2 linked regions of the Macaca mulatta genome follow. The protein of the gene in region 2 interacts with the protein of the main gene of each other region in a pairwise test. Links are inferred from orthologs where the notes say so. Each region holds a gene or a part of one and is shown on either strand. Other genes may lie near its edges. The genes, in order: MEOX1 and NEIL2.

What was found.
Region 1: the proteins of NEIL2 (region 2) and MEOX1 interact in binary tests that used the Homo sapiens proteins (3 or more experiments, as listed by UniProt). The two-hybrid records come from large-scale screens. The link is inferred for Macaca mulatta from reciprocal best matches to the Homo sapiens genes NEIL2 and MEOX1.

Annotation. Positions count from the first base shown.
Region 1 is NC_133421.1:68,004,911-68,009,444, reverse strand, and holds the start of MEOX1 (homeobox protein MOX-1), read left to right. Parts: upstream 1-1,572; 5' UTR 1,573-1,716; coding exon 1,717-2,185; intron 2,186-2,581; exon of another isoform or gene 2,582-4,534. UniProt on the Homo sapiens protein: Mesodermal transcription factor that plays a key role in somitogenesis and is specifically required for sclerotome development. Required for maintenance of the sclerotome polarity and formation of the cranio-cervical joints.
Region 2 is NC_133413.1:9,503,850-9,507,656, forward strand, and holds part of NEIL2 (endonuclease 8-like 2), read right to left. Parts: intron 1,866-3,807; coding exon 1,669-1,865; exon of another isoform or gene 122-1,668; intron 1-121. UniProt on the Homo sapiens protein: Involved in base excision repair of DNA damaged by oxidation or by mutagenic agents. Has DNA glycosylase activity towards 5-hydroxyuracil and other oxidized derivatives of cytosine with a preference for mismatched double-stranded DNA (DNA bubbles).

The sequences.
Region 1 (4,534 bases), on a different chromosome or scaffold from region 2:
TCGTGGCTTCATTCCACATCCCTGGGTGCCCTTCCACTCTTCCTAGGAGCATCTCCTGCACCCACCCCCCAGGGCCCCACCTCCAGGCTGCAGAGCTAAGACCCAGGGGCCCCTCCTCAGGGAACCCTGGCCGTCTTCGGAAGCAGCCAGCAGAGACGCTGCTGTTAAGGCCCATGCCTGTTTCTGCTCCAATCCTGCTGCCCTGGGTTGTGGCAATAACCAGTGGGGAAGGAGTTCTGGCCCCTGGGTGTTAGGAATGTTGTCCTCCAAGAAATTGCATTAACCCTCTGAGAGACCAGCAGGGTGCAGCCATGAGAAAGACTGATTGGGCATCGAGATGGCACTTGGGCTGGCTGCCCTGTGATGTGCACCAGCCCGGAGACCCACGTGCCTGCTTGCCAAAGAGGCTCCTCTGGGGAATGAGGAGCCCCTGATTCCTATTTCCCTGCCCCAAATTCCTCGGAAGCCTCCGCCTCTAAGGGTTGAGAAAGGGAAGCAGGTGGGTGGAGGTGAAGGGGGCAGGGAGCAGGTGGGAGGAGACCCGAAGAAACTTCAAGGACCTTATTTAAGAGCCTTGCCATTGCTGTGAAGAAAAATGACTTGAAACCTCTCTAGAGAAGACTGTGGCTAATTGGCATGTAAGTTGGAGGTTAAAGAGCGGAAGGAAGAATCTGATTGTTTTTTTAAGTTACTGAGAAAGTGAGAATGTCACTCTGGGCAGAGAGAAATTCTTTTTTTCTAGAGTGTGCCTTTCTTTATACTACAGACCATAGTGGGCCGCTGAGACTTGCAAAAAAGATTTCTTTTAATCCACCTTCCTTTTTCGCAGGCAGCAGTAGAAGGGCCTTTAAATCAAATGCAATCACCAAGCTTGTCTCTTGCTTTTATTCCTCACTTCACTCCCTGGAATTTGGCATTTGACGGATTCTGGATCTGACTTAAGGCTTTTTCTAAATCCAAGACTTGGGGAATTTTGTTAGCAGTGCAATAAAAATAACTTCATAGTGTTACAGGAGGCACATTAAAGACGGTGTGTGTGTGTGTGTGTGTGTGTATGTGTGCGCGCGCGCGCGCGCGTGAGTGCTGCTTTCTTTAAAATAAAAAAAAAATACAGACAATGTTTCTTTAAAAGTCTCCATCTGCAAATCCCATTAGATGTGCATATAAGGTTTCTGATGATTAATAGTTGCCTGCTAGGGTTTTGGTTGGAGGGGATCTTGTGTGTGCGGGTTAACCCCTCCCTCTCCTCTCTCACATTTCACTTCAGAAATTTGTCACTCTCTCCCCACCGCAGGATTTAAAGTGTGTCCCAGCAGCCCTGGTCCAGCCCTCTGCAGGCATTTGCTCTGGGCTCCAGGACGAGCTCCTCCTCAGCTGGTGCTTCTGGGTTGGGACAGTGAAAATGTTTAGTGTCACTGGCGACAAATACACGTACAGGGGACCCCAGTAGGCAGGCTGGTGCATTGGAGGGGCAGGAGCAAGCCCAATATAGGTGTGTGCACACACATAGGAGTAGCTGGCCACATGTGTGTGTACTTTAAGGAGAGACTTTAGTTTAGTTTTTTTTTTTTTTTTTTTTGGTTCCTGGGGTAAATTTTCTGTTGAATATTTTTCCCTCCTATTTAATTTTTTTTCTTTTGCATTTTTAAAAATTTGAACATAAAAAGTATAAAGAATCAAATCTTTGAAAGGACTGAGGCGTGCAGCGGACAGCAGATGGATCCCCCGGCCAGCAGCTGCATGAGGAGCCTCCAGCCCCCAGCCCCTGTCTGGGGCTGCCTTCGAAACCCCCACTCAGAAGGCAATGGGGCCTCAGGGCTACCCCACTACCCGCCCACCCCGTTCTCCTTCCACCAGAAACCAGACTTCCCGGCGACAGCGACGGCAGCGTACCCCGACTTCTCAGCCTCCTGCCTGGCGGCCACCCCACACAGCCTGCCTCAGGAGGAGCGCATCTTCACTGAGCAGCACCCTGCTTTCCCACAGTCCCCCAACTGGCACTTCCCTGTCTCAGAGGCCCGGCGCAGGCCCAACTCAGGCCTGGCAGGGGGTTCCAAGGAAATGGGGACCAGCAGCCTGGGCCTGGTGGACACCACAGGAGGCCCAGGTGAGGACTACGGGGTGTTTGGGAGCACTGCCAATGAGACAGAGAAGAAATCATCCAGGCGGAGAAAGGAGAGTTCAGGTAGGTGGCTCAGGAGCAGCTGATCATTCCTTTACTGTGTGACCTTGGGGAAGTTACTCACCCTCTCTGTGCCTAGGTGCTCTGTCCATGAATTTCTGTCTAGCCTATCCAAATGCAGGAGACTGGACCAGTTACCTTTGGGGTTTCTTCCACTGAGAGTTCTAGGATTCTCTGGTGATGGGGACCGTGTCTGTGTCCCAGCACTCCTGGGCCCCAGGAAGGGTGTCCCAGCGAGAGAATGAAACAGGATCCGCAAGGATTTGGACACGTGAAATGGATCCTCTGGGTGCAGACTGGCGAGGGCTGGTGAGAGGCTTTCCTGCATCAGGCTGCCATTGAGTCATGCTCCTCCCCACCATGCTTTGGCCAGCCCCAAGTGGTGCTAGAGCCACAGGGCTCGTTTACCAGGGAAGTCAGCTGAGATTAAGGCTCTGAGAGCTAAGACTGAAGCTGGGACCCTGGGTGGCCACCCACAGCCAAGACCCTATGTGTCCAGGAGCCTAGAGGCAGAGAAGCAGGCCTGCAGCTGGATAGGAGAGTCCAGGGGTGAGGGGGAGATGGAGGACTGAGGTTTGGGGTATCACCCTGTGGAGCTGGGCCATGTCCAGGCCAAGGGGACAACTTAGCATGCTGAGATCTGGCTGAGCCCCCGGGAAGGCAGCCCCGCAAGGAACTGTGAGGGATGGGCAGCCTCCAGGAGAGTCAGGCAGCCAAGGGAGTCCGTGCTGGAGTCCCAGAGGCTGGAGGATGAGGTTGGCCTATTTGTTAAGATTCCAGCTGAAACCCTTCTCTTCCCCAGGGTGGGGACCTGCTGTTTCCTCACCTCCCCACCAGGCCCTCCCTGGTTTCTCACACTGCCTGTTCATCTTTTGTCTGGTTCCTCGTCCCGGCCTTGTTCGGAACAGGGCAGTGCCCAAGCCTCCTGCCCGCACTGCCCTGTTTTCCTCCTGACAGCTGCCCTCAGGGGCACGCCTGTCTGTCGGAGCCTGTAGACGACCTTCCCATGGGGCTAAGAAGGACAGGCCAGAAAAGAAGGGCACCAATGAACAGGTGGGAATGCTTTGTGCTTTGCTTTATCAGCACAGCTTTCCCGAGTTTCTGCTCTTAGCCAAGCCCAGGAATGCTCTGGGTGAGTAAAGGGGTCTTACCCAGAAAAGCTCAAGCTGAGAGGAAGAAGAGGCCGGCAGAGGTGTGTCAGCAGTGGGATGTGCCCTGATGGAGAGGCTTACGGTGCCATGGGATACCGACGTCAGCTCTTTTGAGTCCCACGGGTTTGGGAGATAGGGACAGCAGGTTTTATTAGTATCTCGATTCTCTCAATCTGCAAAATGAAAGACTGAAAGTTTGTGAGAACACAGAAAGAATGGGGTCAAAATAGAGTGAGCAGCTCATCTCCATTTGCCCAGGACTTTTCCAGTTTTAGCACTGAAAATCCTGTGTCCTGGGAAACCCCATGGTCCCAGGCAAACAGGAGAATTGGTCACTCTAGAAGTGAGCTCAAACCCCAGGCTTCAGGCCCCCGATGTCACACCCTTCAGTAGATTTCCAACGCAATCCTCATTTTGAAATGATGTTTGGTTTCCCTGCTTGAAGAAGCCCCTCAGTGAGCTCACAATGAGTAATAGGAACCCTAGCAGCCCTTGCGGCTGCTAAATAGAAGGGCCCTTTAAACCTCCAGCCAGTTAGATCCCCATCCCGCAAACTAACTCATCCTACCCCAGGTAGGAAATGTGCTAAGGATGAGAAGGGACTCTCAGCGACTTGACTCTGAGCTGGGTTGAAGAGCTTTCCCCTTGGTGGCGGCACCCGGCACCGTGGCTCCTTCCTCTCTGCCACTTTCCAGGGAACTGAGAGCCAAGGGCATTGAAAAGGGATAGCAAAGCCAAGAGCCTGCTGGGCTCAGGCAGAATCTTCCAGCATTCCGAGTCTCAGCAAAACCCAAATGCACCAGCTCTCTTTTTGGCAAGTGACCGATGGCCCTGCAATGCAGAGAGAGCATTCACGCTAAGCAGCTGGCCACCCAGGAGTACAGGGACACCCTCTGCTGAACGGCCTGCACACTTCAGAGTCAGACTTTGGTGGAGGGAGGTTCCCATCCGCAGAGGCCCTGGGCTTCCCTAAGGGTCCCCTCGGGAGCACCAGTAGCAGGTGAGGCAGGGCCCAGAAAGCTGACTCTCACTCATCCCTCTGTGATTCCAGACAAACTCGCTGTTCAGCATGGAAATCTTTATTGCTCAGATGCTTGAGACCTCCTTTGGAATTTAACTCAAGGGGAGGAAGGAGGCAAGAAATATCAGCTTCATAAGAGCCCAAAGAAGGGGGAAAGCGACCCAAGGCTCACAACCTACT
Region 2 (3,807 bases):
TTGAAGACCAGCTGGGCAACATAGTGAGAGCCTGTCTCTACAAAAATTTTAAAAGTTAGTGAGACGTGGTGTCATGCACCTGTAGTCCCAGCTACTCAGGAGGCTGAGGTGGGAGGATCGCTTGAGCCACAGAGGTTGAGGCTGCAGTGGGTTGTGTCTATGCCACTGCACTCCGGCCTGGGCGACAGAGAGAGACCCTGTGTCAAAAAATAAAATAAAATGAAATACCAAGCATAATGCTCGTTATGTAGAAAGTGTTTGGGGAGGTGTTATCTTATGATTTTTCTACTCCTGCCTCATTCTCTGTGAAGCCAGCCTCGATCCCTCCTTCCAGAATCAGTAACTCTCTTTGGAATGTTCCAACCATACTCTTTCAGCTCCACCAGGCATTCATAGCAATCTTTCCTAACTCGCAGTGGACTGAGTCTGTGCTTGCTGGGACATTAAACAATGATCTCCTTAAGGAGAGATGGTGAGCGTGACAGAGGTCAAGTGAGTGTCTGTGTGTTTGGAGTGAGCAGGTGAAGGAAATTCTTGCTTTTTCCAAGAGCCTCATAGTCACACTCCTCATTACACACATCGATCTCTCCAGAATTCGTTGACAGAATACCTGGATTCACATCTCAGCTGCACCGTGTACTAGAGATGCGTTCTCTGCTTCAGTTTCCTCATCTGAAGGAAGGGAAACCCACTATAACCATCCTATGGAACAGCACTAAGGACAAAAACATGTGCCTGGCACATCAGAGCTGCTTGGAAAACACTGGCCATTATTAATTACTACTGTTACTTTATTAGCTCTTGCCACATATACCCAAAAAGCCACTTCCGATGGCTCTTTGCTCCTGAGGGCACAGGGACTCCCATGGTCCTAACATGAAAATGCAAGGCTAGTGCCTGGTGCACCACCGGGCCTTCTCTGACCCTCGTGAGGGGAGGTGAGCAGGCAGCAAAGCCACATGTTGGATATGGAGGTGACTCTGTCACCACCAACTTGCCTGATTGCTTCAGCAGCCAATTTTGGGCACAATTATTCCCCTGCTGTGGGTAATAAGAATGGCACGCTCTCATAGTCCAGCTAATTAGCTGTTACATGTATTTTTGAAATTGTTCCTCTCTTCTCCCTATCCTGAAACGCTCACGGTTTCACTGCTCATGCCACTGCAATAGAGAGAGGGAAACTCTTCTTCACTCGTCTTGTAAGAACCCAGTGTAGACTGAGTCATCTGTGCATCCACCCAAGAGCAGCATCCCTTAGAACGTGCACTCACTCCTCTGGTAGTAGCCTGCACGACTTCAGTCCCTACAGATACGGGTCAGGCACCTCCTGTGTGCCAGGCACTGCACTGTGCTGTGGAGGGTACAGAGGTGCCCAAGACATGACCCTGCCCTTTAGGAGGCGATGTTCCAGCGCTGCTGGCAGAAGGCTCACAACTGATAACACAGTTAGGGTGTGGATTCTGAAGCCCAGAGACAAGCTAAAAACTGCCTGATCTAATGCCCTCAGTCTAAAAACAAGGGAAGTAAAACAAAGGAGATTAAGCAAGTGGCACCTCAAGACCAACAGCACTGGCACAACTAGGGTGGGCCTCAGGTCTTGTGACTCCCACAGGAGCGACTTTTCCATGAAGCAAGTCTGTGGACTCACCCCTTTCCCATGAGTCATACCTAGCCCTGAGAAGTATCTCTGGTCCAGCAGTGTATAGCAGACAGGCTGCGCCTGGCCTAGAGCTTCTAAGGCTTGTCCTCGATGGAACTTCTCAGACAGGATGTCACAGGCGGGTGTGACCACGGGGGAAGAGCTCCAAGACATCTGACAATTATAAAATGCCAGGAAGCCACCACCACCAAAGTACAGGACCAACCTGGGAAGAAAGAACAGGTCATATGTACACATCGCTCTCACAACATAGTCAGAGCACACTCTGTGGTCGGATCATACACACATCCCCACATCCCCACATCGTTACCATGATATAGTCACAGCACACTCTATGGTTGAATCATACACACATACACACATCCCCACACTGTTACCACGATATAGTCAGAGCACACTCTGTGGCTGGATCATACACACATCCCCACATCGTTACCACAATGTAGTCAGAGCACACTCTGTGGTCGGATCATACACACATACACACATCCCCACATCGTTACCATGATATAGTCAGAGCACACTCTGTGGTCGGATCATACACACATACACACATCCCCACATCGTTACCATGATGTTGAGGTTGATATAGTCAGAGCACACTCTATGGTTGGATCATACACACATACACACATCCCTGACTTACAATGGTTCACTTTTAATTTTTGATTTTATAATGGTACAAAATCAATGCACACTCAGTAAAAGCCATACTTTGAGTACCTATAAAACCTTTCTTTTCAGTGCAGTATTCAATAAATTACATGAGATATTCAACATTTTATAAAACAAGCTTTGTGTTAGATGATTTTGCCCAACTGTAGGCTAATGTAATTGTTCTGAGCACATATAAGGTAGGTTAGGCTAAGCCAGGATGTTTGGTAGGCTAGGCATATTAGACGCATTTTTGACTTATAATTTTTTTTTTGAGATGGAGTTTCATTCTTATCACCAGGCTGGAGTGCAGTGGCACTATCTTGGCTCACTGCAATCTCTGCCTCCTAGGTTCAGGCGATTCTCCTGCCTCAGCCTCCCGAGTAGCTGGGATTACAGGTGTATACCACCATACCTGGCTAATTTTTTGTACTTTTAGTAGAGATGGGGTTTCATCATGTTGGCCAGGCTGGTCTCAAACTCCTGACCTCAGGTGATCCACCTACCTTGGCCTCTAAAGTGCTGGGATTACAGGTGTGAGCCACCACACTTGACCTAATATTTTCAATATTCCATATATCCTTTCCATATAGAAAGGATATATAAAGCTAATTTTATTTATTTATTTATTTGGAGACAGGGTCTCACTCTGTTGCCCAGGCTGGAGTGTAGTGGCACAATCACAGCCCACTGCAGTCTCAACCTCCCTGGCTCAAACTACCCTCCCACTTCAGCCTCCCAAGTAGCTGGGACTACAGGTATGCACCACCATACCTGGTTAATTTTATTTTATTTTATTTTATTTATTTTTTTTTTTTTGAGACGGAGTCTCGCTGTGTCACCCAGGCTGGAGTGCAGTGGCGCGATCTCGGCTCACTGCAAGCTCCGCCTCCCGGGTTTACGCCATTCTCCTGCCTCAGCCTCCGAGTAGCTGGGACTACAGGCGCCCGCCACCACGCCCAGCTAGTTTTTTGTATTTTTAGTAGAGACGGGGTTTCACCATGTTAGCCAGGATGGTCTCGATCTCCTGACTTCGTGATCCACCCACCTCGGCCTCCCAAAGTACTGGGATTACAGGCTTGAGCCACCGCGCCCGGCCTAATTTTATTTTTATTTTTTGTAGAAACAGGGTCTTCACTATGTTGCCCAGGCTGGTCTCTTACTCCTGGGCACAAGTGATCCTCCTGTCTCAGCCTCCCAAAGTGCTGGGATTACAGACAGGAGTCACTATGCCTGGCAAGCTAATATTATTTATTTCAAAGACCAACAAAGTAGATAAAACTCAGGCAAGCCTATTAAAGAAAAAAGAGACAAAGCAAAATAAATATAAAACATGTAAATGAGAAAAGAGACATAACCAGGTAAACAGAGATTTAAAAATAATGGCATGATACACATTCACTCTATGGCAACATATCTGAAAACCTAGGGGTGAGCCTGCTTCGTGGAGAGCATTTCAATGCCTCCAGCTGGTGACTAATCCAGGACTCAGC